7 linked regions of the Canis lupus familiaris genome follow. The protein of the gene in region 1 interacts with the protein of each later gene in a pairwise test. Links are inferred from orthologs where the notes say so. Each region holds a gene or a part of one and is shown on either strand. Other genes may lie near its edges. The genes, in order: FHL2, SAXO1, JUP, CCDC92, ZNF131, DCP1A and SP2.

The links.
Region 2: the proteins of FHL2 (region 1) and SAXO1 interact in binary tests that used the Homo sapiens proteins (3 or more experiments, as listed by UniProt). The two-hybrid records come from large-scale screens. The link is inferred for Canis lupus familiaris from reciprocal best matches to the Homo sapiens genes FHL2 and SAXO1.
Region 3: the proteins of FHL2 (region 1) and JUP interact in binary tests that used the Homo sapiens proteins (3 or more experiments, as listed by UniProt). The two-hybrid records come from large-scale screens. The link is inferred for Canis lupus familiaris from reciprocal best matches to the Homo sapiens genes FHL2 and JUP.
Region 4: the proteins of FHL2 (region 1) and CCDC92 interact in binary tests that used the Homo sapiens proteins (3 or more experiments, as listed by UniProt). The two-hybrid records come from large-scale screens. The link is inferred for Canis lupus familiaris from reciprocal best matches to the Homo sapiens genes FHL2 and CCDC92.
Region 5: the proteins of FHL2 (region 1) and ZNF131 interact in binary tests that used the Homo sapiens proteins (3 or more experiments, as listed by UniProt). The two-hybrid records come from large-scale screens. The link is inferred for Canis lupus familiaris from reciprocal best matches to the Homo sapiens genes FHL2 and ZNF131.
Region 6: the proteins of FHL2 (region 1) and DCP1A interact in binary tests that used the Homo sapiens proteins (3 or more experiments, as listed by UniProt). The two-hybrid records come from large-scale screens. The link is inferred for Canis lupus familiaris from reciprocal best matches to the Homo sapiens genes FHL2 and DCP1A.
Region 7: the proteins of FHL2 (region 1) and SP2 interact in binary tests that used the Homo sapiens proteins (3 or more experiments, as listed by UniProt). The two-hybrid records come from large-scale screens. The link is inferred for Canis lupus familiaris from reciprocal best matches to the Homo sapiens genes FHL2 and SP2.

The regions. Positions count from the first base shown.
Region 1 is NC_049231.1:39,049,224-39,053,657, forward strand, and holds the start of FHL2 (four and a half LIM domains protein 2), read left to right. Parts: upstream 1-1,553; 5' UTR 1,554-1,694; intron 1,695-1,989; exon of another isoform or gene 1,990-3,084; intron 3,085-4,434. UniProt on the Homo sapiens protein: May function as a molecular transmitter linking various signaling pathways to transcriptional regulation. Negatively regulates the transcriptional repressor E4F1 and may function in cell growth.
Region 2 is NC_049232.1:38,829,100-38,832,998, reverse strand, and holds the end of SAXO1 (stabilizer of axonemal microtubules 1), read left to right. Parts: intron 1-2,428; coding exon 2,429-3,432; 3' UTR 3,433-3,571; downstream 3,572-3,899. UniProt on the Homo sapiens protein: May play a role in the regulation of cilium length. Stabilizes microtubules at low temperature.
Region 3 is NC_049230.1:20,925,784-20,929,682, reverse strand, and holds part of JUP (junction plakoglobin), read right to left. Parts: intron 2,386-3,899; coding exon 2,235-2,385; intron 2,126-2,234; coding exon 2,004-2,125; intron 1,411-2,003; coding exon 1,371-1,410; intron 1,115-1,370; coding exon 963-1,114; 3' UTR 949-962; intron 629-948; 3' UTR 1-628. UniProt on the Homo sapiens protein: Common junctional plaque protein. The membrane-associated plaques are architectural elements in an important strategic position to influence the arrangement and function of both the cytoskeleton and the cells within the tissue.
Region 4 is NC_049247.1:5,970,583-5,974,857, forward strand, and holds the start of CCDC92 (coiled-coil domain-containing protein 92), read left to right. Parts: upstream 1-1,475; 5' UTR 1,476-1,547; intron 1,548-1,590; exon of another isoform or gene 1,591-1,647; intron 1,648-1,725; exon of another isoform or gene 1,726-1,932; intron 1,933-4,275.
Region 5 is NC_049225.1:67,662,926-67,666,824, reverse strand, and holds part of ZNF131 (zinc finger protein 131), read left to right. Parts: intron 1-717; coding exon 718-1,403; intron 1,404-3,899. UniProt on the Homo sapiens protein: Plays a role during development and organogenesis as well as in the function of the adult central nervous system. May be involved in transcriptional regulation as a repressor of ESR1/ER-alpha signaling.
Region 6 is NC_049241.1:36,947,279-36,950,489, reverse strand, and holds part of DCP1A (mRNA-decapping enzyme 1A), read right to left. Parts: intron 2,258-3,211; coding exon 2,039-2,257; intron 1,755-2,038; coding exon 1,674-1,754; 3' UTR 1-1,673. UniProt on the Homo sapiens protein: Necessary for the degradation of mRNAs, both in normal mRNA turnover and in nonsense-mediated mRNA decay. Removes the 7-methyl guanine cap structure from mRNA molecules, yielding a 5'-phosphorylated mRNA fragment and 7m-GDP.
Region 7 is NC_049230.1:24,184,192-24,188,808, forward strand, and holds the start of SP2 (transcription factor Sp2), read left to right. Parts: upstream 1-1,623; 5' UTR 1,624-1,635; coding exon 1,636-1,723; intron 1,724-1,867; coding exon of another isoform or gene 1,868-1,870; coding exon 1,871-1,947; intron 1,948-2,652; coding exon 2,653-3,627; intron 3,628-4,617. UniProt on the Homo sapiens protein: Binds to GC box promoters elements and selectively activates mRNA synthesis from genes that contain functional recognition sites.

The sequences.
Region 1 (4,434 bases):
AAGTAGAGACACAGGCAGAGGGAGAAGTAGGGTCCCTGCAGGAGCCCGATGTGGGCTCTATCCCAGGAGCCTGGGATCATGACCTGAGCCAAAGACAGATGCTCAATCAGAGTCACCCAGGCGCCCCCAGAAACTTAAGTTTTAAGTGAAATCAATGTTTTTATTATAAAAGCAATAAAAGATCATTGTGTACATTTTAGAGATGTCATATAAGCCAAGGAAAAAACATCAGCCATAATCTCATCACCCTGCCATAAGCACATTCCCTCATTGGATGCCTATCCTTTCAGCATATGTGCAATAGTAACTTCTCACACATACACCAAGTTTCCCTTAAAGTGACCTGCATTTTCACTACCAACATGTCATCATATTGTTTCTATGTTATTAAATATTCTTCTATGACATTTCCAAAGGTTGCAGTGTTTCCTTCATGGCTATACTATTCCTCATTTTACCAGTCTCGGTTGTTAGTCATTTTGGTTGTTTCCAACTTTCCCCAATTATTAAAAAACCTGCAAGAAATGTCCCTGGAGCTGTATCTCTGCTGACATCCACGATCCTTTCCTTAGGATAAATTCCCAGATGTGGAATGTCTGTCATATGGCAGACAGCTGCTGCCAAACAGCTGACCTCAGTTGTCCTTCACCTGACCCCAGCCATGGCTGAAAAGCCTCCCAGAATTAAGAAATTTAGGGGTGAATCAGGAATTATTGCTACCCCAGATTAGTCCTCTCTGACCTCTTCTAGCATATGGTTTTTTTAAAAGCCCTGGGTGGCTCAGTGGTTGGGTGCCTTTGGCTCAGGGCATGATCCTGGGATCCCAGACTGAGTCCCACATTGGGCTCCCTGCAGGGAGCCTGCTTCTCCCTCTGCTTGTGTCTCTGCCTCTCTTTCTGTGTCTCTCATGAATAAATAAATAAAATCTTAAAAAATAAAAATAAAAAAGCTCCATAAGATTTCTGCATTAGCTCTATAAAGAAAATGATTTGTGGCCCAAGAATCCCCCCAATCATGCATGAGTGGGGGGTGGGAATGGGGAGAGAGGGCCTTTATAAGGAGACTGCATTCCCGGCCTCCCACGTGCCCAGCATGAAGCCGATCCCTTAGAATCTCCCCTAGAATCTTTTTCACCCAAACCAATACCCCTGAAGCCAGGGAAGAGGGTCCGTGTGCTCCTAGCAAGAGGCAGCGCTGACAACCCACAGCACACCCCAGGGCACTGTGTGGCCTGGATGACTTTCCTCCCCCTTCTGTACCACAGCGCCGGCCCTGATCTCGGGGTGGGGGGGTCTCCCAGCATCCGAGCCCCTGCAGCCCCCCAGGGACTCCACCACTTGTCTGACCAAGCGAGATCCCTCCCAGCGCTCGGCTTTCCCCTCTCACTCCTCCTTGGGTTGCTGGACTGTGTGCAAGGCCCAGGGTGTCCTTGAGGTGGGCAGGCCAAATGGGGAGCTGGCACCCCTTCCCATCTGGGGGCCGAGGCTCCTTTAATTTGGATACCTTAAAAGGCTCGCGGGAGCGAGGGGCTGGGTTCTTATCTCTGGGCTCTGGACAGCACCTTATTTATAGCCCTGCTGACACGAGGCGGCAGCTGGCCAGCAGCTGCACACACAGTTGCAGGAGCAGCCCACGAGCGTGGGCCCTGCCTCCCCACTGGCCCCTGGGCTCGCCGAGGGCAGACGACAGGACAGGTAAGCTTCCTCCTCCCCGGGGCCCCTTCCTTCCCTGTGCCCTGTGTCCTCCCAGGCTTCGCTGCCAGCTGTGCGGCCTCCTGCCCCGGGAGGGAGCTCTCTGGCACTGTGCACCTGCAGACCCCAAACCCAGCCCCAGTGGCCTGGCAGCGGGCCCCCGCCTGCAGCCAGCTCCTGCCCGGGGCTGCGGGGCTGTGGGGAAGGAACAGAACCTGGCCCTGGCCGCTGCTCCAAACCCACGGCAGGTGCCTCCGGGAGTAGAAAGAACACGGAGGGAACCCTCCGTTCATCTTACCCTCTCAGACGGGGAAACAGGAACTACACGGAGTTTTGAACACCAGGAAGCTTTTTGTAAAAGAAAAAAGAAAAAAAAAAAAAGTATAAAATAAACATTGGGAGGGGGGAAACCACAGTGCCCTGGAGCTTTTTCTCCTTGACAGAATTTCCGGATGGCCTGGGGTGAGGAGGCAAATTACTGAGGAGTCTGATTAGGCTGGGAAAGTATGTTTATACAAGATGACTTGTTACGGCTGACGGTTCCAAAGTACAGATAGCTGTTGTGTGCTTAAAGGAAATGCATTCACATTTTACTAATTTACTAATTTCTAGAGCAGGATGTGAGCAAATGCACAGTATTGAGTAATGCTTGGGCCAATTGTGTAATAATGTTAACACTGATAAGATGGCATATTCTGATAATAGGTGTCATACATGTTAACATCCTCTAGTCATACTCCATGCAAGGCACCTTATCAGGTCTAATCCAATAAAAAGAGATATTACCAGGCCATTTTTTAAAAATAATTCTGAGGTCAAAAGATAGTATTAACACTTGCGTTATTGGCTGATGTTATTTTATCATGGACTTGCTCTATATAGGTTTGTTCTGGTTTTATTTTATTTATTTGTTTCTTGAGGAATGCTATTTGAATTTTGTTTTATTGCTAGGTTTATAACATGATGTGCTGTAATCAAACCTATTACATTTTGAGATCCATCCAATCTTAGGAGAGTTTTTGTCTTTAAAGCAGTAGCCAGCTACTCAACTCACACAATTACATTTTCGAGGCCTTTTCTGATATTAAGAAAATGCTTCAATGTATAACCTTCATGAAGAGTTGCATAGTTTCCCCTAAAATATTCCCTGACTGCTCACTCAATCTTGCCTGTTTTTGAATGCATTTTGCACTATTAGATTTCTTCATCCCACTTAGTGCTTCTGGAGTTCTCCATTGGTTCCAGATCCTGAGGCTAGGCCACGTCATATTTCTCTCTGTAATCTGATAGCTCTTAACACAGGGACCTACATAGTCTACTGGTGTCTAAAATACTTCAGATTTAAAATAGATGGCCAAGAAACTGAGTTTAAATTGTCCTCTCCCCACCGTCAAAAAAAATTTTTTTCAACCAAATAAATTATAAAGATCTTATTGGTTTTACTCAATGATTCATCAATTGGGCAGTATCCCACCCAGCAGACAGAAAAGGGCTGTGCAGTGTGTACAAAACTGAAGACCTTTACAGACAGAAGGGAACAGGAACTAGGAAGGTACATGGGACAAAAAAAGTGGACTGTTTATTCCAACATTACTTTCCTTTAGAGGATGACAGGGCTCTATCAGGCAGATGACCTAACTAATGCTCATCAGGTGAGTTCTGACTGCTTTAAAATTCCATTACTGGAAGAGGCCAAAATTGTACTTAGGTTAGGTGTGTTTGGTGACGTGGAGCTTAATATAAGTGACTCCATTTGGGGCCTGTTGTCCTGTTTTTAACACCACCAAAGAAAGAGGTGAAATTATATTCATAGTGTTTATATTTTCTTTCATTGTATCTTACTGTACAAATATATGCCAGAAAATACAGACCAGCAGAGAGAAGAAAATGAAAAATTATGTGTGGTCTTACTACATTTATTGTTTATCCTATTTCTTGATTCTAAGAAGTCTTTGATTTTGAGATGAGCCACTAATTTAACACTAGCTTTACAAGAGAGGGAAGGAAAGAACGCCTGGGTGGCTCAGTGGTTGAGCGTCTGCCTTTGGCTCATGGTGTGATCCCAGAATCCCAAGTCCCACATTGGGCTCCTTGCATGGAGCCTGCTTCTACCTCTGCCTGTATCCCTGCCTCTCTCTCTGTGTCTCTCATGAATAAATAAAATAAAAAAAAAAAAAGGTGGGGGGGGGAAATTCTCACTATATACCACTCCACATTGATGTATTTTAGGATGCATCTGAAAACAATAAATTATATGGAGAACTATAACTTCTAATTAAGAAAAAAATATATCATCAGGTCATTTGGTAATCTGCTTTTTGTTAAATTTATGATCAATGTCCTTTCACCAAGCATTCAAACTTTATTTCTTTGAAATTAGTTATCTTTATATGACATTGTGATTTCTTTCATTTAGCCAGAATATTCAAATACTTATAATGATGGGGAATTAGAATGATGGAAACTTAAAAAAAAAACATAAATTAAGCTTTAGATAAGCAATTTTATCAGGATATAACTAGTTGGGTTTTTTAAGATTTTATTTATTTATTCATGAGAGACAGAGAGGCAGAGACACAGGCAGAGGGAGAAGCAGGCTCCCTGCAGGAGCTAATGAGCAATATGCTAATTTCTACACTACTAATGCAACCCACTGAATAGTAAAAATACACAACCATCTTGTGCCTTGATCTACATGACCCCTAAAAGTTTATTTGGCTGATTTCTTCCTCATTATCACTGA
Region 2 (3,899 bases), on another chromosome or scaffold:
CTTTTGGGACATATTCCTGTGTTTCTTTCTATTACCATCATGAATTATTGGGGAAATGTAAATTAAGCTGCAGTGGGATACCACTAAATGCCTACTATAGTGTCTCTAATGAAAAAAAAAAGTGTTGATAAAGATGTGGAGGAATTAGAACCTTCACAAATTGCTGATGAGAATGTAAAACGGTACATCCACTTTGGAAAAGTTTGTACAATCTTAAAAAGTTAAAAATAGTTTTGCCATATAACCTAGCAATTCTTCTCTTGGTATATACCTAAGAAAAATGAAATATATATTCATACAAAGACCTGGCTATGACTGTTCAGAACAGAAATTTTCCCAATAGCCAACAAGTAGAAACAACCCAAATATTCATCAGTTGTTGAATAAATAAACAAAATTTGGTATATCCATATGATGTAATATGATTCAGCAATAAAAGGAGTGAACTATTACATGCTGCAACAAGGATGAATCTTGATTGTTATGTTACATGAAAAAAGCCAAATGCAAAACACTATATATTGTGCCATTATATTTATATAAAATGTCCAGAAAAGACACACCTATGGAGACCAATAGCAGATTGTGTGGTTGCTGGTGATGGCCCTAAAGATTAACTGTAGGTGGGCTTGGTTGATATTTTTGGGGTAGAAATGTTCTATAACTGGATTTTGGTGATTGTACAACTCTGTAAAAGTTACTGAATAATTAAAAAAATGTAAGATGGTGCATTTTGTGTTATACAGATTAGATCTCAGTAAAGGTGTTTTTTTTAAAAAGTGTACCTATGGACTCCACTGATATTGGCTATATATAACCAAGGCTCCTTAGAAGCTGCTTTTGTTTCTAATGTTTGTAAAGCTGTAAGCAGGAGAACTCCCTTCAGATTCAGAGTGTTTACTAGAATTTCATATTGGTTACTTTTTAGATCTGGTAATTTATGGACACAATGGGGGCAATGTAGGACCTGGGTGGGAGCCCAGCATTATGGAACCAGTATCGAGGTGTTTGGATGGTACAGTTTGCTGATTTTTAGTTTCAAAGCTGTCCTTGGATTTGTGTGGGGAAGTTACTTTAAAAGGATCCTAGTGCAATTTGAAGACAAAACCTCCAGGATTCATGGAGATCATCTTTAGGGAAGATTTTTATTTGGGTACAGGTCTCACATTATCTTGGCCATGCCAGTCCCACAGCAAAGGTTCCCCTCGAGACAGATATCCTCTAGATACATGGACCGATTCTTTACATTCTTTAAATATTCTGAAATTATTCTTCTGCAAAAATTCTCTGATTATTTTTCATTAGTCTTTATTAGTCTTTATTCTCTCTAAATGTATGGTGCTCCTAACTGTATTATAGGCTGCCAGAAGAGCATGACTTTGGAGTCAATCATGTGGTTTAAATCCCAATTCTTAAGTTCCTAGCCATGTGACTTTAAGAAAAATTTCTTAGCCTCTCTGAGTCCTGCTCTTTAAAATCTGTAGAATAGAGATAATTATACTCATCACAAAGGGTTATGGTAAGATGAAACAAGGTCATGTATGGAAATCCCTTAGCACAGTTAGCTGGTATATAGTGTTCTCTGATTGTCAGAATCAGATAGTGGAGTGGGTACAGAGTATGGATTTTGGATCCTGATTTGTAGCCCTTCTTTTTCACTTCTAGCCAAGTGACCTTGGGCAAGTTCCCTAAGTTCTCTGTGTCTCTGCTTCTGCATCTATAAAATGGGCATATTGAAAGCACCTGATTAGACCTGTCCACAGGTTAAATGAGTTAATATAGGAAGTATTAAGAATATTAAGATATTAAGATATCACATGATAATCTCTATGCAGGTGGCAGCTGCTGTTCTCTCACCAGCCAATGCAATGCCTTATTCCCTTGGGGCCAGCATGTTTGATTTATGTGGGTTAAATGTGTGGGTTATAGGGATACAATCATGGTCACCCCAAGGTTGAAAAGAGAGGTCTACTTGGTCTGGCTGGTGGCCCACCAGTGGTGGCTTGTGAATCCCCTTTCTCACTACACCATGTGCATCTTCTCTTTCTGTGCTGATTCAGAGTGGGCACCTCCCCCATAGAGGAACAGAACTATTCTTGGATCAAGGTACACTGGTGGTTGACTCCTCAGCTGGAATCAAATCCTTAGATCCTCCCATAGCTGTGGACTCTCTAAAATCCCTGCATGCAGCATTGTGGGTTATGATGAGACTCCTATAAATATATCTGTTCTGCATACTCACTTGCAAATCCTATAAAGTTGAAGTATGAAGCCCAGTGTTGAGGCAGTGAAGGGATCTACTCTAGTCTTCCTTTGTTTCAAGGACCATCTCCCTGGAGACTGGCTTAAGGCTTTGGGGACCTTTAGAATACATGTAGGTTAAGTGGCCTTGATTTATAAGTAATTACCACTTCTGCTTTATTTTCAGCTGATTACTTACCTTGGAACCAACCAAGACGAGAGCTGCTTCGTCCAGAACACCATTACCGGCCAGCATCAACCAGGTTTGATAGTAGAACTACACACCAGGATGACTATTCTGTAAAGGGCCTAGTGAACACCATGAGCTGTAAGCCTCTGGCCATGCCCAAGCTCTGTAACATACCGCTGGAGGATCTGACTAATTACAAGATGAGCTATGTGGCCCACCCTATGGAGAAGCGCTTTGTGTATGAAGCAGAGAAGTTCAGACCCTGTGAAATCCCCTTTGAAAGCCTTACCACCCACAAAGAATCCTACCGGGGCCTGATGGGAGAGCCAACCAAGAGCTTGAAACCTCCAGCCAGGTCCTGTGGTTTAGACACGACTTTCTCTAACACCACCGAGTTTCGAGATAAGTACCAAGCGTGGCCCACACCCCAGATATTCTCCAAAGTTCCTGTCACTTATGTCCCTCCTGAAGAAAAGATGGACCTTCTGACAACAGTGCAGGCCCATTACACATACCCTAAAGGTGCCCCAGCTCAGTCCTGCCGACCGGTGCTCTCAGTCAAGAAGGGTGGCCACTTTGAAGGCTCCACTACCACCAAGGACGACTACAAGCAGTGGCCTGGCATGCGCACAGAGCTAGTCAAGCCCGTTCCCCAGTTGAACATTCCCACTGAGCCCTTGGATTGTCTGACCACTATGCGGGCCCACTATGTGCCCCACCCACCCATCAATACCAAAAGCTGTAAGCCTTCCTGGGTGGGCCCCCGAGGAAATATCCCTGTGGAGGGCCAGACCACATACACCATCAGCTTTACTCCCAAGGATGTGAGCAGGTGCCTGGCTTCATACGCTGAGCCCCCTGGCTACATCTTTGAGGAAACAGATGCTTTGGGGCACAGGATATACAGGCCAGTTTCCCAGACAGGCTCTCAGCAGGACAGCCGTCTTTCTGTAGATGATTCAGAAAACCCTAACCAGCGGGAATTGGCAGTGTCAGCCTGATATTTAAAAATGGTTACTTAGAAATTGCACAATACTTTTAAAAGCAGGTGATTGAGAGTTATTCATTGGCCAAAAAAGAATTCCCCAAAATGGAAAAAAAAAAAAAAAAAAAAAAAAAAAAGAGTCTTCTTCATCATTTCCAGGACACTTGAATAAAATGAGAATCGCTTGACTCAACGAAAATGACATTTAATCACGGGCTAAGTATTCCCCTTAACCCTCCCTTGGCTTCTTCCCCCACTTTGGTCCCTTACCTTGTGTTGATGGAATCAAAGTTGGTCCCAAGGGTTCTTCTCTGAACCAGAAATATTTTATTGATGTAATCACTGTATGAATTGACATGATAATTAACCCTTGCCAAGTATGAAGTGCTAAAGAATAAATTTTATTTTTGGGGGAATGAATCTTCAGGTCTATGTGTTCACCCTTAAGTGCTGTCTATGGAGGGAAGGGGCTGTGTTCCTTGG
Region 3 (3,899 bases), on another chromosome or scaffold:
CCCTCACCGCACACCAGAGGGGTCAGCCAAGAGCACTTCTCAGGAGTCAGCTAGGGCGGTTGTGTGGGTGGGATGGGGTGCTCCCAAGCAGGGGCCAAAGCCAGCTGAACATCCTCGAGAGGGGAGCAAGCAGTGTCCTCATCTCCGTCCCATCTCCCTGGTCCGTCCCTGAACTTCTCAAACAAGCTTTGGATTCTGGGACTTTGAGCATTGAACCTGGGTTCTGGCCACCCCAGGGGCTCAGAACAGTTGGTGGGTTGGAGTTCAGTGAGAAAATCAGGCCCAGAGAAGGAACCAAAGCTCTGAGGGGCCTGGGTTGCTGGAGTCAGGCCACCCAGGGTGGGGGTGAGAGTGGGGGGTGATTACTGGGTGGGGGAAGAGAGTGAGTGGTTGAGTCTAAAGCTTTAGTGCCAGGGCCACAGAGGTGGGAGGGGGTGTTGGGCCCTGGACCCACAGCCTAGGACAGAAAAGCAGGAGCATCCCTAGAAAGACCCTATAGAGGATGTCTGGAGGCATGGGCCGGCGAGAAGTCACAGCGAGAAGTCGTGGCCCTGCTCCCCTGGGCTCAGGCACTTTCCTGTCTCGCCCCATCGCCCACATGGAGAGCCTCTCAGATGAGGAACCGCACCTGGGGGAGGGGGAGTTATACACAGAGGGGTCAGGGCAGGCCTATGGCCTCCAGGAGCTTGTGCCACCCCCGTGTCACCCACCCACTACCCACCTGCCCCCAGCAAGACAAGGGAGTGAGGCAGGCCAAGGCACGCCTTCCTCAGGGGAGCTCAATGGCAAAAGGCCCCACACTCACTTCCCCCAGAAAAGGGCCAAGGTTTCAAAGGAAAGATGACAGGGCCTTTGTGAGAAGCAAGTTCTAGCGGGGAAGAAAAGCATGTCTCAATGGCCCAGAGGCCCCAGGCATGGGGGAAGCCTGCAAGCAGGAAGGTGCCGTACTGGATTGCAGCCAGCTAGGCCAGCATATGGTCCGCCGTGGGGTAGGGGGGCCTCAGGCCGTCGCTGTAAGTGTCGATGGGATAGTCCGCGTCCATGTCCATGTGCATGTCCAGGGGGTCCAGGGGCACATCACTCGAGTACATGGGGCGGTAGGTGGCGTCCATGTCTGGGGAAAAGAAGGGAAGAGGACCTTCTAAGGTCTGCAGACCACCCTGCTGGACCTCACAGTCCATCTCCAGTGGGCCTGACCCCTTCTCCACTCCCCTACATCAGGGGGCCTACACAGGAGTAGGTGTGGACTCTGCAGTGGCTGCCACTGGTCATGCGGCCCTGGAGACACAATGCCTCTCCTTCACTCACATCCCCAGACACCCCACACTGCAGGGTCTCGGGGACCCCTGAGGAACTCTGCACACACTCACCATCTGCGTAGGGCTCATTGATGGGGATCATGCTCTGGGCCTAAGGAAAGAGACAGAGAAACATTGCAGGAGGGGAGAAGGGTGCAAAATGTCAGCTCTGGGCTGGGGGGTGGGCAGCTAGAGATGCTTCTACAAAGAGGGAAAAGCATAGACCCCTCGAAGGAACAGAGGAATGAAATGGGGTTACACAGTGCCCCAATGGACTCCTCTCCTCAGTCACTTCCGAAGAGTTGAAGTTCCCACCGTTCTCGCATAGGGATGCCCACAAAACCAGGGCAGCCCTGGGGACAGCAGTGCACAAGATGCCTTGAGAACGGGTACTGGGAGCTGCCCCACCCAGGATCGGGGCAGCACTAGCCTACAGAGCACCTCTGCACACGTTAGAAAAAGGCATTGCCCCCTGCTTCAAACACTTCTAATAACATGGACAAAATAAAATTGCCATTCTGGCAGGTCAAAAGCAGATAGTTTAACCTACCTCTGCCATCTGCTAGAAATGGTCATCAATGATCCAATTACAAAATAAAAATCTGAAGTTGACAGTATGGTAGGAGGAGCTCCCTCAAAGGCACTGTCCATGTGTAGTGTGCAACTTGCACAACCATACATTGCAGTCCAACCCAGGATACTCACAGCCTCCCATGCAGCTGGGTCATGCTTGAAGAGGGAGTTGGTGAGCTCCACAGATACGCGTTTACGGTAATCTGGGTTCTTGTCCTCGGAGATGCGGAACAGGACAGCCGCAGCGTAGGTGGCTGAGCAGAGAGGAGAGGAAAACTCAATTAAGCGCCTGCCTTCACCCTGGCTGGAGGACCAAGACCCAGCCCCCGCTGTCTCCCCCTGGCCCACAGCACAGCCCCTCACCGGTGCCCTCATTGCGGGAGTGCAGTAGCTCCATGAGTGGAGCTGAGGCCCCCTCAGCATCAATTGCATCAGCTGCCTCCTTGTCCTGGGCCAGCTCACACAGCACCCCGGCAGCCACGCGCTGGATGTTCTCCACTGACGAGTACAGGAGCTGGGGAGAGGGAGGGTGCGTGGGGTGGGGAAGGGGCGCAGGTGGGTAAGGTGTAAGGCAGATGGGCAGCCCGCTCGCCCCCCAGCCCTGTTAGTCTCAGCTCCCCTTTTCTGGACTTAGCACCAGCTCCTACTAGAAAGTGTGGAAAAGTCTAAGAAACATAAAGAAATAGGAAAGAAAACCAGCCATAATTCCCCACCCACATATAGCCTTTGTTAATACACTGGCATATTTCCATCATGTTTTTATCATAGTCCTGTTTTAGGACTATGCATCCCTATTTTTATTTTTATTTTATTTTATTTATTTATTCATGAGAGACACACAGAGAGAAAGGCAGAGACACAGGCAGAGGGAGAAGCAGGCTCCATGCAGGGAGCCCGACGGGGGACTCGACCCCAGGACTCCAGGGTCAGGCCCCGGGCTGAAAGCAGTGCTAAACTGCTGAGCTACCTGGGCTGTCCCTTATTTTGATATTTTGATTCCTGTTTTGTTTGTTTGTTTGTTTTACCTCACACTGTAACATAAGGCATTTTCCTACATTATTAAAAAGCTTTACCTAGAAATCTGAGTCCATACTGATAAGAAAAAAGAGAGTGTTAAAAAGCCAAACAATAACAAAAAAACAAAACAAAACAAAACCCCTCATTGGTCACAACTGGAGGTTGCAAGGATGCTAATCCCTTACTCTGAACTCTAGTACTTAAAGGGAAAAAATTTGAAAAGCCAAAAATTCTTCAACCTCACTGTATTCAGCCATATGATATAATGGACTTTTTTTTTTTTTTCAAGATTTTATTTATTTATGGGACACCTGTGTGGCTCAGCAGTTAAGCGTCTGCCTTTGGCCCAGGGCGTGATCCTGGAGACCCGGGATTGAGTCCTGCATTGGGGTCCCTGCATGGAGCCTGCTTCTCCCTCTGCCTGTGTCTCTGCCTCTCTCTGTGTGTCTCTCATGAATAAATAAATAATTTTTTTTTAAAGATTTTTATTTATTTATTTTCACCAGCCCAGAGCATTCTCATTTTTTTTCTTTGCCAGTTTGATAGCGGAAAATGGGACGATCTCACTGGGAGCATAAGCTTCATTTCTTTAAACTCCTGGGGTTGAACACTGCCTGTTTATGAGCGACCTGGGATTGTTTCTGCCTCTGCCCATCTAACCACTGGGGTCTAGTATTACTGAGCTCTTTTATATGAAGGATATTAAACTCTTGTCTGTTGTGATACTTGCAAACATTTTCCCAGTTTGCTACTGACTTTTTCTTGCTTTTTAGACTGTTTCTGACATACAGATGATTTTAACGTTTATGTAGTTGAGATATTTTTCTCATTTGTGATCTCTTCCCTTGCTTTTGAGCTTGGAAAGCCATTCCCATGCAGGGATCTGCTAAGGGGTCACTCCTGGCATGGTCACTGTTCTCCAAACTCCTCCAATGACCTCTTGATGACTGGCCCAGACCCACCAAACCCATGGCTGCCAACCTCCCACTTTCAGTAATGGGGATGTGCAGG
Region 4 (4,275 bases), on another chromosome or scaffold:
TATTGCGGTAGGACAACCAGTCCACAAACTAGCCCCTGGAAATGTGCGGAGCAGGCTCCTCCTAGAGAAATTTAGTTGTTAGAGTTCAGCAAGGAAGGTTTCACAAAGGAGCCGAGTTTTGAGGGAAATGAGAGGTGACTTGGCAGAGAGATGCGGGAAGATTAATCCAGATGGGAAAATGTCTGGGAGGTGGATTTACTGAGTTAATCGGAAGCGGGGGACAGTAAGCGAACTGAAGGCAGGTCCTGAAAGAGGAGAGGATTCCTTTGGATGTGGGAGCTGAGAGGGAGCTCGGCTGCGCGGCCATCCGGTTTACCTGGGTGAGAATCCGGCCCTTATTGTGGTCAAACAATGGAGGCGTCCAGCGGCAGCGGCGTTCTGCGCTGGGTGCGCGGAGGGCTCCTCATCACCTGGCGGGATGCTCGGCGGGCTCTGCCGGGACGCAGGGCGCTCTACGAAAACACAACAGCACACCATGCAGCCGGGCTCCCCCGCGGCACGGCCCGGCTCCCCGCTCCCACGGCGCGGCCATTACCGCCTCTCCGGGGACCTGCCTGGAAGGGCTCCAAGGCGCGGCTCCACGGGCTCCTGCGGCCGTCTCGCTCCCCCTTCCCTCGGCTCCAACAACAATGGAGCCCGGGCTCGGGAGTCCGGCTCCCGCGGGGCCTCCGCCCGGCCTCGCCCCTGCCGCTGCCCACCCCTCGCCGCGCCGCCGGCCGCCATCTGTGACCCCCGCGCCCCGCCGCCGGCGCCGCGGGCCCACGGCGGCCCGCCGAGGCCCGAGGCCGGGGCTTGCCCTCCGCCGGGCCCTGCCCGGTGGCCGCAGGGCCGGCCGGCTGCGGGGGGGCCGCGCCGCCTTCCCCTCCGACGCCCCGGGGCCGGCGCGGCCCCAGGCCCATCCTGAGTGATGGGTTGTTTTTCTTCTCTTTAACCCACTCATCGTCCTGCCAGCCCCGAGCCCGCTCCCCTTGTGCCCCTGCCCCCGCCTCGTTCCCGAAAAGAGACAGACTGCAGCCCGGCCGCCAGACAACTCACTCCAAGTGAGGGGCTGAAGCGCCCCAGGCCGCGGACTCCGCGCACCCACCCTCCCTCTCCTCCAGGGACACCTCACAGGTGCGCCTCCGAGCCGCGCGCGCGCGCTCCGCACACCCAGACGCCTCCGGGGGACAGCGCGCGTGCGCACGCACGGGGCCGACGAGCCCCGGGGGAGCGGGGGCCGCACGCATGCGCGCCGCTCGGCCCGCGCCCCGGCACCCCCCGCCCCCGCCCCCGCCGGCCGCCCGCGCGCGCGCGCCCTCCCCCCAATCCCAGGCTGGTCCCGGGAGCCCCCCCAACCCCGGCCCTGCGCGCGCGCGCCCGCTCGCCCGCTCGCCCGCTCGCTCCTCCTGCCCCGCCCCGCCCGGGCCCGCGTTACCCTGGGCAACCGCAGTGCGGCCGCACCTGAGCTCTGCGCCTGCGTCCCACCGGCCAGACCCTCCCTTCCCCTCGGTCCCGTCCCCTGCCCCGCCACCGCTGGGGGACGGGGGGCATCGCCCCCTCCCCGCGAAGTGAGTATCGAGCGGCCTCCCCCGCCCTGCGCCGCAGACAGACCCGCGCCGCCGCCGCCGCCGCCGCCGCCGCCTCCGCCTCCGCCTCCGCCGCCTCCGCGCCGGCGCGTCAGCCGTCCGCCCGGTCAGCGCGGCCTGGCCTCGCCGCCCCGGCCCCCGCTCCCGGCGTGCACCGCGGCGAGCGCCCGGGTGGGAGCCGGCGAGATGCGTTCGGCGGGCGGCGCCCACTGACCTCCCTCGGCCGCCCGGCCGGCGCAGGGCCGGAGCCGGGAGCCAGCCCCGCCCGCCGCCCCGCCCATGGGCCGCCGGCCCCCGCAGCCGCCTGCCGGGAGGACCGCGCCGAGGGGGGGAGCCGCCTGAAGGACCGCGACGGCCGCGCCCGCAGGTGAGGCGGGGCCCGAGGTGCGACCGAGTCCAGCCCCGCTCACCTGGCGGTACCTCTGGGGAGGCTCTGCGGGCGCCGGCGGGGGGTGGGAGCACCTGTCGGGACGGGGATTAGGTGGTTTTCAAAGCCCTCGCCGCGGGGGGCGGGGGTCCTCCCGTCTCGCCCCCAGGGCTGGGCGGTGGGGAAGGGGGTCCCCGTGCGGAAACAGCTGGGCGGTGGCGACAGAGACACGAAGAGGTGGACGCGAGGGCAGAAGTGAGGCGCAGCGCCCCCCGCGCCGGCTGTCCCCCCCGTGTTCCAGCCCGCTGTGGGGAGGGGATGCCCTTGCCCGGGCTCCAGTCCAGGCTGCGGACCCGCCGCACCGCGCACCCAGACCAATCGCACGGGGCAGGAGCGGTCAGCCCAGCGGCCGCCCCTGCCAGCCCCGGGGTGGGATTGTAGGGCGAGGGATCCGCATTGCAGGTGCACCAGGAGCACCCTGGGGCCTGGCCCTGCTTTGTCTGGGATGTGTGGGGAGGCGGCCGTCTGAATCCACATCGATTTTTTAAATGCGTTTTACCACCCTCTGGACGTTAGAGACCCTCCCTGATAAGTTGCGTCGTCTCGTGTCCTGATAACCCTTGCGTAAGTACTCTACCTTACAGCCCTTTTCTGAAGCTTTGATGTGGGCTTTAGATGACCCTGAATAACAATTTGCTTGTAATTCATGAAATTGAGCATAATGCAAATATGCAGTAGAGCTCCAGGCTTGCCTGCCGAGCTGCGGTCTGCTAGTGAGTTACTCCAGTTTATCTAACTTACGTCTCCATGCTGACCTGTTTTGTTTAAAGTCAAGCTTTGATATTTAGCTGTATGATCTATTCCAATAATGAAAATGACGTGGCCTAAGAGAAAATACAGTTGTGTTCCGAAATTTAGGTTGCGGTAATAGGTGTTATTGCAAAAATAACAAGCTCCGAGGTTTAATTTTAAAACGTGCTTTGATGTATTACGCATTTCCAGAAACCTACCTGTAAGAATGTAAAACTAGAATTGCGGTTTTTAAAAAAAAATATATATATATAAGATATTTTTAAGTTTGAGGTTTATGTAAAGAGCATTGTTGTTGTTTTATTAAATTTTTTTTGCACTGTCAAGAATTTGCCTGCATTTTCTTCCCATTGGAGTGTAAGGGGAAAGATGCTGACATCTAAAGTGACTTTTATTCCCTAAGAGGTTTTAAATTTAAGTATTTCTTTTGGTTAAGTGTTTGTCTTATGTGAAATATTTTTGAGAAAGGGTTTAAGGCTTGTGGTATATGTATATACCTATGTGTATATATGTATGTTTACATATACACACTATTGAAAAACCTTAAAGTAGTTTTTATTATTTCTCTGCATCATGTTATAATTACTCAGTGAATTTAGTTTAGATATGTTTAAAATCCAAAGTACAAAACAATTATTTGTATCAGCTTTTTGTTGTAGTACGTGTAAATACATCAGTCTAACAGGTTTCTTAGAAAATATTAATTCTTTTGAAAAACACGTGAGTCCTTTTACTTGCAATGGAAGATCACTTGGGTTCTTAACTCTTTCATCTGTGATTCATTGGATAAATTCATTTCAATGTCGTCACTTAATTGGCAGAGAGCATTTGCAACAATACTGGTGTTAACAACATTGATGCTTTTAAGAAATACTTATAAAGCATTCTCTCATGTTTCTAACAAGAAAAGACATGGGCCTTTTTCTTCTATCTGGAACAAGGTCAGCCATAAAAAGTTCCTGATACATAATGGGCACACATGTTTATTGAGATTGATTACATCTACTGGATTGGATCCTTAAAGGTCAGCAACTAGGTGCCTCTATGCTTCACACACCAAGGCTGCAATAAATGTTTGGCTCATATTGAAGTTCCAGACTAGTTAGGTAGGTGCTAGCTTAACACCAATTTTCACATCTCCAGCTTTGATGTTTAAAGATTTGGGCAGAGAAGTGAACGTGTCCTCATTGTTTTCAGATATTTAAGGTTTGTCATGCAGCAAAGGGAGTGTCTGTATTTAGAGTAATTCCCAAGTGCAGAAGAGGCCAAGTAGTATTTATAGGAAAACGTTTCACTTTGACATAAGAACAAAAGTTGCTTATGATTGGAACCACCAGCATTGTAAAGAAGGGGCTGCTCCTTCCCCACAGTTTCCAAATTAGCCAGTACCCCAACAGGGCAGGAATGGCTAGTAGGAGATAGCACATGGGGTGTGAGGTGGGTGTCTAGGGATTCCCATGGCCGTGGATTAAAGGGCTTTGTGGCTCTTTTTAATTTTTTTAATGGGGGAGCTTCTACAGCTGTGGGCACAAG
Region 5 (3,899 bases), on another chromosome or scaffold:
TTTTGCTATTAAGTTTTCTTTTTGTGTGCTGTTTAAGAAATCTTATCCGTAACCCAATTTTATAAAGATTTTCTCTCTTTTTTTCTCAAAGCTTAATAGTTTAGTTTTTATCGACAGTCTGTGGTCCATTTTTTTGTTTGTTTGTTTGTTTGTTTTAAAGATTTTATTTATTCCTGAGAGACAGAGAGAGAGGCAGAGACATAGGCAGAGGGAGAAGCAGGTTCTGTGTGGGAAGCCTGATTGTAGATTCAGTCCCAGGATCCCGGGATCATGACCTGAGCCAAAGGCAGATGCTCAACCACTGTGCCATCCAGGTGCTCTGTGTGGTCCATTTTGAAATAATTTTTCTGTGTATGATTCAAGAGTAGTAGTTGAGGTTTATTTTCTCCATATAAAGACCAGTTATTCCAGCAGTACTGTTAAGAGATTCTTTTCTTCATTAAATTATCTTGGAACCTTTTTTCAAAAGTCAGTTGAATAAGTGGGTCTAATTTTGGACTTTACTCTGTTCATTAATCTTCATGTCTCTCACCAATATGGATAATTTACTGTAGTTTTTCAGTTTAGTCTTGAAATCAGGTTATAGTATAAGACTTCCAATCTTATTTTTCGCCTTTTCATATAAATTTTACTATGAGCTTATCAGTTTCTTTCCAAAAGCCTGCTAGGATTTTCACTGACCTTATAGAGTTTTAAGTCCATCTATTATGTTTTCAGGAACAAAGAAAACTCAGCTCCACTAGAGGAAAATACCACAGGAAAAAGTGAGGCAAAAAAAAGAAAGATTGCAGAAACTTCAAATGTTATCACTGAGTCATTGCCATCTGCAGAATCAGAACCTGTTGAAATTGAGGTAGAGATTGCCGAAGGCACAATTGAAGTGGAAGATGAAGGCATCGAAACGTTGGAGGAAGTGGCTTCTGCCAAGCAGTCCATAAAGTACATTCAGAGCACAGGTTCCTCTGATGATTCCGCCCTGGCACTATTGGCAGATATTACCAGCAAATACCGTCAAGGTGATAGAAAAGGGCAGATTAAAGAAGAAGATGGTTGTGCATCTGACCCCACAAGCAAACAGGTAGAAGGTATTGAAATTGTGGAACTTCAGCTGTCACATGTGAAGGACTTGTTCCATTGTGAGAAATGTAACCGTTCATTTAAATTGTTTTACCATTTTAAGGAACACATGAAATCACACTCCACTGAGAGTTTCAAGTGTGAAATATGCAATAAAAGGTATCTTCGGGAGAGCGCATGGAAACAGCACCTCAACTGTTACCACCTTGAAGAAGGTGGAGTCAGTAAGAAGCAAAGAACTGGGAAAAAAATTCATATATGTCAATACTGTGAGAAACAGTTTGACCACTTTGGACATTTTAAAGAGCATCTTCGGAAACATACAGGTAACTGGCAAATGCTTTATGTTAAAAGTATATTTTCCACATTTGCTTCAAGTCTAAGTGTCTACCTTTTTTTTTTTTTAATTAGTGCCACAGAAACCATCTCTTGTATTTTCTAATATGCAGGCTGAGCTCACAATGTTCTGATGATACTAGCGTGTTGAAATATTGACACTTTAAGAGCAAAATCATTAATTTTGAAGTTGGTTGTTACTCTTACACCTTGTCAGTTTTTATATTTTTAGAAGAAATACACAAAACACAGTTTGTGATTATTTACCAAGGATTATAAATTATGAAATCCTAATTATAGGGAAACTTCGCTCTTAATATTTTTTCCTGTTTCTGATTTATAGGTTATATAGATAAGTACATTTACAGCTGACCTCTGGCATGTTTATACCTTTGCATACACTTAGTAACTGGTTTTGACCTGGTGGCCAGGTAGGCAGTGTGTGTGTTGTTTTTCCCACACCTCTCTAGGGGCACACAGTGTCAGGACTGATGAACAGCGGGGAGATGAGAAAGGTGAAGTCTTTCACTGCCATCCTTCTGGCAGCCCTTAGGCATGCAGGAGGGATCCCAGAGAGGCTCACTTTGGGCCTCTGTATCTATCCCCTATACCTGTTCTTCCCCTTGTCAGATTCCCTGTCCTTCCACTTCCCAAGCATTCTTTGCTGAGTCTTCTGTGCCATACACAGGAGCTACCACCTATGACTTGAATCTTGGGTGTGGGAAGAGCGGTGGATATGGTGTGCTAAGTGTCAGATTCTAGACACTTGTTCCCATGTTCTTGTGTGTGGTGGCTAAGGCTGTTTAGACTGTTTAAGTGAATACAACAAGGCTATTCCATGCTATTCAGTCTTTCTCTTTGCTGCAGTTTGGAGAATTTTGAAGACTTTTTTTCATAGATCTTTTGCTGTCCTGAGTTGCTCGCCACATACTACTTGAAACTGAGGAAATGGAGAGATTGAAATAAATGTGATATCCTTCATTTTTAAATGCTTGGTATCAGTACTCAGGGACTGAATAAATGCTTGGTATCAATACTTAGTGGTTACATGAAGAGCAAGAGAATCTCATAACTAAGTCTCTGTATGGATTTTAAAAGCTTTGGGGTCCAAGTTTGGGTAACTAATAGGTGTTAATGAAATCTTTAAGGGAAATATGTTCTGATTTTCAAACATAGGCATAATACCTACTGTATATTTAGAAACTGCCTATAGTAATAGTTTTGGGTCCTTAAATGGTCATCTATTTTAATGTAATTCGTTTTGCAAAATGCTATAACAGTAGCACATTAAATTAGTAAATAAATGTTCCTTGGTGTAACTAGTGTGCTTTGATAAAGGTTTACAGTATCCCAACAGATGGTCACTTTTACATTAGCATAAAAGTGGAAGCAAGTTGTCTCTCTAACCCAAAACATTACCTAGTGGCTTACCCACTGTAAAACAGGCAACACAGACTATTTTGGAAGTTTTGGAATGTGCTTTCCATATCCTATCCTTTGTATTTTGGATTAAATAGAAGAAAATAGAGCTTAAAGTGTATTATGTTGTATGTCTTTATAATTATGTAATATAATTTAATTAAGTAGTTAGAAATTACAGAACTAGATGTCCATTGGAAGAACAGTTTAACACCTAAAGCAAACTGAACTTTGTTAGCATTTAACTGCAATTAACTGTACTAGTAATTAGTAATAAGATAGTTGCAGATGTGACCAGTGACTTGGTGAATCAAGGGAGCATAAGTAAACGGTTTTAAATTGTGCTTATGTGGGCAGCCTGGATGGCTCAGCGGTTTAGCGCCGCCATCAGCCCAGGGCCTGATGATCCTGAGGACTCAGGATCGAGTCCCACATCAGGCTCCCTGCATGGAGCCTGCTTCTCCCTCTGCCTGTGTCTCTGCCTCTCTCTCTGCCTCTCTGTGTGTCTCTCATGAATAAATAAATAAAATCTTAAAAAAAAAAAAAAAGTGCTTATGTTAATAAAGGATGGATCATTTTTTGCTTTTAAGAAACTCAGTGTAAATGAGGAAACAATCCCATTCCTGTTTCCTATCCTCAAAATATACATAAATCTCCTTCAGTTTCATATTTTGCATACTTTTACTAGTTTATTTTTTTTTTTTTTAATTTTATTCATGAGAGACAGAGAGAGAGAGGCAGAGACACAGGCAGAAGGAGAAGCAGGTTCTCTGCAGGGAGCCCGATGTGGGACTCAATCCCAGACCCCAGGATCACGCCCTGGGCTGAAGGCAGGCGCTAAACCTCTGTGCCACTCAGGCGTCCCAATACTTTTACTAGTTTAGCGGTTTGGTTTCTTTAGCATTCTTAAAGCCTGCATTATAATCTGTGGCTTGATTTGCAAAATTTTGGCTGTTTCTTGTCCTATGAATTAGTTTGTTTCCATTTGGAAAATAGTAACGGTAATACCAACCTGCTAGGTCTTAGAGGTAAGGAAATGTTAGAGTCCCTGCCCTCAAGGAGTTCAC
Region 6 (3,211 bases), on another chromosome or scaffold:
AAGCTTCCCTGACTTCTGTACAATTCACAAATAACTACGTAGACAGCAAGAAAAGACACTAAATTTGACAAGCAGAAAAGCTGCCCAGGAAGCATATTTAGAGTAACAAATGCCAATCAAACAAAGTATTCTTTATGCTAAAAAAACTAAGACCAAACTAAAACAAGTATGTAATTCACAAGTAATTTTCTAAAATCTCAGCTAGGAAAAAAAAAAAAATCTATCGATTTATGATTGAGTTACCATTAAAGCTTAAATGACTGTTCGCAAGGAACCACCACATCCATCAGCATTATTCACAGCTCACCCTTATGCTAGCTGGTTGAGCCAACTGGGTTTTTACCCCATCATTAAATAGTGCTCAGAAAAGTAAGCAGTGCATCTTAATTGGTTAAATACTACAAAATGATCTGCATCATAGAAACGAAGACACTTTCATTCAAAGAGTATCTTAAAATTACTATTGCTGAAATAAATCAAAGTCTACATTAAAATATTACTAATCACCATTACATGCCATAAAAGAATAAATATAAATCATGGCAGGTCAATAGCAGCATAACAAAGCATCTTTACATATTTTCACACTTTGGGCTGCAAAAGTACTCACAGCCTAGGAATACATTGGTAAAGTTCTGAATTTCACACTTTGTTTTTAACTCCATATTCTATAATAAAATAAGGGCAGTATGAATAACAGCTCCCTTTTCTGCATAGCTTTAAAACTACTCTCAGTAGACTCGAGGAATGGAACCAGAATGGCTTTGCTAGATTGGTCCACTGGTCCTTTTTGCCAAGTGTTAAGGAAAACAATCAACAATGACTTCTGTGTTTAGACAGAAAAGGAAAATAAGGCTACACTTCACACAAAACTTAACATTTTCGAAACCACTCAATAGTTTAACGTAAAGTGAAGGTTTCTGATCAAATTCAGTCTTTACCAGTCCCAGCCTTTGCTTCAAAGGTGTGACATGCTACTCCCATACCATCACAGAGCCGGAGGAGGCCCTAGTCACGTGGTATCACTGCCCTGGGAGCCCGCAGCATGGCAGCTCTGGGGACACTTAAAAAAACAAAACAAAACACAATTGAGAAATTTCAGAACTTTTAAGGCCCAAATGGGGCATTCATAAAAATATACTTCACTTGAACAAATCATTCCTAATTTGCCAACTTAAACTCTGATCCTTAAAACTCAAAGCTACTTTGCATAGAGCTGACTACTGCTCTGTTCAGAACTTGACTATCAGCCTAAGGCTCAAATTTCTAGGGGGGAGAAGCAGGGGAAGGGGTGCGGGCTGAACTCTGCTACAAGGCTGGTGACCCCTCCCCTCCCTATGACCTTGAGAGTGAAAGCAAGCTGAAAACCAGGCTCCTGATTTCACATCCCTTCTTACAGCTGATGAAAACACCCACACAACTTAATGTTTTTTTTTTTTTGTTTTTGTTTTGTTTTGTTTTTGTCAAAACAAAGGTCTGCTGGTGATGCTTCACAGTGAAACCTCCATTATCACTGAGAACGTCACTTGGAAAACATTCTTAAGGAATGAGTCTCTTTCTCATAGGCTCAATTTCAGGATTCTCAAAACTCAATGTTCTGTTTAGAAGTTCCCATGATGAGGCCTATTCGTTTCTGAGGTCGACATTCTGCCTTCGGATTTATTCTGCTCCAGTCATAAGTTGTGGTTGTCTTTGTTCTTGGTCAGAACCTGCAAGTAGACTTCGTGAAGTGTACTGAGGAAGCTGGAATCATTCTGGAAGAGATGGTAATGTTTCATTTACCTCAGAAGAACTTACTGTATAAATGATTTATAAAACTAACTACCCAAAGAATCCCATCACCCAGAGACAGCTGCAATCAATATTTTGGAATTCATTCAGATACTTTTCCATTGGGAGTATATGCTCAGAAAGAGAGAAACATCAGTCCCGCTAGTCTTCAATTCACCTTATGAACTGGTTTTCTAAAAAGAATTTATGTTTTTTAAAATTAAAGAACAGAAGTTTACAGATTCAACTGCTGGGATGGTCTGCATACCTTTATTAGATGTATTAATGTATCCTGGAGCTGGGACTTGCTGAGAATAATGGAAGGCTTTCTCTGATTTTCTGATGTTCCAACAGTCAGTGGAGAAGGGGCGCTTGCTTTTCTCTCGAGGTCTGTGGACCTTGTGACTGTCTGTTGGAAAACACTCGGGGACAGCAGGACTGAAGACACTGCCATGGTTGTTGCAGTAACCAGTGTGGGGCCTGTGACCTGCAGGGCAACAATGGTCATGAATGAAGCTTGTCGGCTAAAGGATGAAGGGTCTGTTTCTTGGGAAGCCAAGTCTGATCATCACACAAAAGAAGTATGATCACACAGGGTATGCACAGTAAGAACAATCCTATGATAAGAGGTGTCTGCATGGCTTAGTTGGTTAAGCGTCTGCCTTTGGCTCAGGTCATGATCCTTGAGGCCTTCGTTGGGCTCCCTGCTCAGTGGGGAGTCTCCTTCTCCCTCTGTCCCATCCCTGCTCATGCACACAAGCATGTTCTCTCTCAAATAAAAAATTAAATCTTAAAAAAAAAATCCTATGATAAATTAAAAATGCAAAGTTTTTTTTTTAAAGATTTTATTTATTTATTCATGAGAGACACAGAGAGAGAGAGAGAGAGAGAGGCAGAGACACAGGCAGAGGGAGCAGATCCCATGCAGGAAGCCTGATGTGGGACTCGATCCCGGGTCTCCAGGATTACGCCCTGGGCCGAAGGCAGGCGCCAAACCGCTGAGCCACCGAGGGATCCCCAAAACTGCAAAGTTTTATATGGGGAGCAGGGAAATGATTGGAAGAGGGCATGAGGGACTTTCTGGGGTGATAGAAATCTTACATATATTGATTGAATGGTTACCCCAAGGGATATTATGTTTGTTAAAACTCATAAAACAGAATCTGCATTTTATATGTATTTCACTGCAGTAAAATTTTACTTCAGATAAAAAAAGAAAAAGAAAAAGAAAAGGAGTGCCTGGATGTGTCAGTTGAATGTCTATTCTTGGTTTTGGCTCAGGTTGTAATCAGTTGAATGTCTATTCTTGGTTTTGGTTCAGGTTGTAATATTAGGGTTGTGAGATGGAGCCCTGAGTTGGGCTCCACACTTAGTGCAGAGTCTGCTTGAGATCCTCTCCCTCTCTTTCTGCCCCTCCCCACTCTGCTCTCTCTCAAATATA
Region 7 (4,617 bases), on another chromosome or scaffold:
AAGCAACACAGTCCTCCCACGCTTCTGAAGAGCTGTTCTCCTTCACTTTGCACAGATGTATCATGAATTAAATGTACAGAATTAAGTTGTCTTAATTAGCCCACGCAGTTAGAGTGGTGCCACTTGGCAACAGTACAGCTGTAAACATACGCACAGGCCCTGAAACAGGCAAAGCTTGGCAAAGCAACGGTCACCCAGTCAGTGTATGTTCATTTTGAAAGGATAACCATCACAACGTACACAAGAATAAAACATGCTGGGCAGAAAAAGCATTAGCCTCCTTAGGAGAAGCTGCAGACCCTTGTCTTGGGAGCCACCCCTAGTTTGAGACAACCCTGATTGACCTTGCAGCAGCAAACCACTCAGGATGTGTGGATCTCCGCACTTTTAGGAGGAGGCACATTTGGCTTGGCCTCCAAACCATACTCTCCTGCCTGCAGTTTTTTTCCCTTCTTATTCATAAGAATATTATGAAAATTTCGGTCAGATGCCTTGTTGAAATAAAATACAGAGTGTATACCCTTTCCTTGATGTATCCATGCAAAACCTCATGAAAACAGCATGATTCAGTTTTTGCAACCCTGTGCCTTCTTCCTTAGGGTCATTGTTGTCTTCAGTAATTATAACGTGCCATTCAGTCTTGTTTCTAGGATTTTGCCAAGGATCAGTGTCTGTAATATTTCAAGATCTCCCTATACGATTTTGTCTAGAGCTGTGCTTTTGGCTTCTCACACAGTTTATTTCTCTGAAATAATAACCTTGTTTCTGTACTTCCCAAGAGCTACTTTCCAAAGGTTAAGGATGCGAGTCTCACTGCCTAGTGTCCTTTTCCTTAGTGATTTATGAACTACAAGATGGCATAGATTCTTCCCCACCCGACCCCCAAATTCTCATGATTTCCATTTTACTTTAATTCTTTAAATCTGATTTAAGTTCAGAGTAGACATTCCCTTCATTACTTCCTCAACGTTCCTTATTGTTCTTTCTTAAAGGGGGGGGGCACAATAGGGTATATTCATTGTGGGAAAATGAGAAAATCCAGAAAAACAAGAAAAATTCTTGAAGTCAAGCAAAATTCTACTGCCAGGAGATAATAATGGGTCTTAACGTTTCAGCATTTTCAAAGACATTTCCTGCTGTGTTCACATATAGAAATATGTACACATTTAACAAAAATAGAATTTACTCTGTTTTCATTCTCATTATATTTAGTCATTAGTTCTAGTCTTGGTGATGCCTTTGGGGCCATACCTGTTAGCCTATGTAAAGTCACTGAAAGTGGTTATCCACATGCTCAAGATCATTACCTGGGCTCTGGTACCTTTGTGGTGAAGGCTGAGCATAAAGCACCTTAGATCTCCTTTCTCGTGGAGCAGGTGTGTCTTTGTCAGGGATCCTAGGAGAGAAGCGACTGTCAGCCTGGCATTTGGCTATAGAAGGAGTGAGCAAGGAGCTTGGGTTAGATCTAGAGGATTAACCAGAGGTGCAGGGCTGGGATGAGGGCGGCTCTCCTGCCCACCAAATAGGGATTCCATCAACCTAGTTAGAGTTAGCAGTACCCTGTAGAGATTCCTCCATTGGATGACTGAAGCTGGTCTCAGCAAAGTCTTGTGTCTTCCTGTTGTCCCAGGCTTTATGATGCCTAGAGACAAAACCAGCTGCCCTCCCAGCCCAGGATGGACAGATTGGAGGAGAGGAGAGAAGGCCACCCACCGAACAAGATGTAGGGTTGCTAACCTTGAGTGGGGAGGCATTAGAAAAGGTTGACCTCTTGGAGAAGCAGAGAGAGGCAAAAGGAGTACCTGAGGCCAATGGGCTTGGGTTCTGTTTGGGCCTCTGGTGACTTATTCAGTCTCTTTTCTTCCAGCAGATCCACAGACCAGCATGGCTGCCACTGCCGCTGTCAGCCCCAGCGACTACCTGCAGCCCGCCGCCCCCAGCACCCAGGTGAGTGAGCAGTGGGTTTGGGTGGGGAGGCAGTGCTGCATCAGCCTGGAGGCATTCTCTGAAGCTGACATTAAACCACAGCTGAAAACTCTGTACTGGCTTCTCTGTAAACACCCTGGGACATGACCCCTGGGAAGATTCGGTGGTTCATTTTCTCTCAATGAAGAAGCCAGGGCCACTTACCTGAGGTGGCACAGTTGAGTTGGGAGAAAAGCAGGATTAAACTCCAGGTCCCTTCCACCAGACCCACTGACCATAAAAGGGAAATAGAGGCTGTGTCCCTACAGTCCAGAGGCTCTGTCCTTGTAGCCTCGAAAGAGCACCCTCCCCACTTTACCTGAGTGTTTATTCTTCCTCCCTTCCTTCCTCAGCTGAGGAATCAGGGGCCCCTCAGCCCTCGTGATGGGCCAATGGACTTCTGCCTAAAAGCTGAGGATGATTCTGTGACCCCTTGAGAAACACGGGTAGTGGGAAAGGTGTTTGTTCACCTTGTTATGGGGGCTTCTAGAGAGTTCCCCCCGAGAAAGGCACTGCCTACCCTTTCTCCCTCAGAGAAAGAGGAGATAGCAGGGAGAGGGAAGATGCTAGCACCCTGCCTACCACAGAGGTGCCAAAGAGCCTGCCAAGAGGAGGAGACCACGAAGGGTAGAGGGTGGCTGGGCAGCAGGTTCATGTCTCACTTTTCCTCCGCTCGTTCTCTCGCAGGATTCCCAGCCATCTCCTCTAGCCCTGCTTGCCGCAACATGTAGCAAAATTGGCCCTCCAGCTGTTGAAGCTGCGGTGACGCCGCCTGCTCCCCCCCAGCCCACACCACGGAAACTCGTCCCCATCAAACCTGCCCCTCTCCCTCTCAGTCCTGGCAAGAATAGCTTCGGAATCCTGTCCTCCAAAGGAAACATCCTTCAGATTCAGGGGTCACAACTGAGTGCATCCTATCCTGGGGGGCAGCTCGTGTTCGCTATTCAGAATCCCACTGTGATCAACAAAGGGACCCGATCAAATGCCAATATCCAGTACCAGGCGGTCCCTCAGATACAGGCGAGCAGTTCCCAGACCATCCAGGTACAGCCCAGTCTCACCAACCAGATCCAGATTATCCCTGGCACCAGCCAAGCCATCATCACCCCCTCACCATCCAGTCACAAGCCTGTCCCCATCAAGCCAGCCCCGGTTCAGAAGTCAAGTACAACTACCACCCCTGTGCAGAGTGGGGCCAATGTGGTGAAGCTGACGGGTGGGGGCGGCAATGTGACACTCACTCTGCCCGTCAACAACCTTGTGAACACCAGCGACTCTGGGGCCACCACTCAGCTCCTCACGGAGAGCCCCCCCACCCCTCTGTCTAAGACTAACAAGAAAGCCAGGAAGAAGAGTCTCCCTGCCTCCCAGCCCCCTGTGGCTGTGGCGGAGCAAGTGGAGACGGTGCTGATTGAGACCACCGCGGACAACATCATCCAGGCAGGAAACAACCTGCTCATTGTTCAGAGCCCTGGTGGGGGCCAGCCAGCTGTGGTCCAGCAGGTCCAGGTGGTGCCCCCCAAGGCCGAGCAGCAGCAGGTGGTACAGATCCCCCAGCAGGCTCTGCGGGTGGTGCAGGCGGCATCTGCTACCCTCCCCACCGTCCCCCAGAAGCCCTCCCAGAACTTTCAGATCCAGGCGGCTGAGCCGACGCCTACTCAGGTACCACACTCACCCTCTACACCCGCCTCCCTCTCCTTCGCACTGAATGGCTGACACTCTGTTCCCCCTGGCTTGCTTTAGAAGATGATACTGAGGCAGCTGCTGATTTGACCTGAGTGCTAGGAGTCAGCATCATCTGGGGTCAGTAGTAAGTGGCCATTTCTGCTGACATGTGGGCTCTCTTTGGTTCAGGTGGTTATGTACTGCTCATCCTTAGAAATCGGATAAGACATCCCTATATACCTATATTGTCCACTTTTTCTTTTTGGAGAGTTTTTTGGAGGGTGGTTAGAGGACAGATACGTATTTTTTAATAATAAAGTTTATTTTTTACTATAGAATCACATACAGCAGCAAGAATGAAATCTCAGAACCATAGAATTTGATGTAAAGTAAGAAAATTAATAAGAAAATTTTGGTCATTGTTAATGGCAAGAAAAAAAGTAGGAAGACACAGCCCAGCTTGATGGCAGGAACACTTAGGCTAGATCCATCTGGGATGTTAATAATTCAATAAGAATGTTATTTGGGGCTTATATTAAGGTGCCATACTACTCTGGAATCTATTTGACTCTGTGAGGTGGTTTTATTCTTCGTGTATGCCTAGTAAATGCCAGAGATTATGCCCATGTTGCAGATGGAGAGCCTGGAACTCAGAGGAGTTAAGTTTCCAAGAGCTCATGGGGCACAGGTGACAAGAGGCAGGATTCAACCCAAATTTCTGACTTTAAACCCCATGCTCTTTTCTGCTTTTCACCTTGACTTGCTACGTCTTGGTATGGCAGGTGCTACCATTAAAATTGAGGACAAGGTGGTTGTTGTTTTTAAGGATCTTTTTTAATATAAGAAAGTAGTTCCTGCCATTGAGGAATTTATAATCCAGTTGTCTGGGGAGAGAGAACTGAGGCATCACAGTGAGTGACAGTAGGGAGTTGTGTTCTTTCCAGGTGGACAAGGAGTGCCCTTGAGATTGAGTTATGGACATGGAAG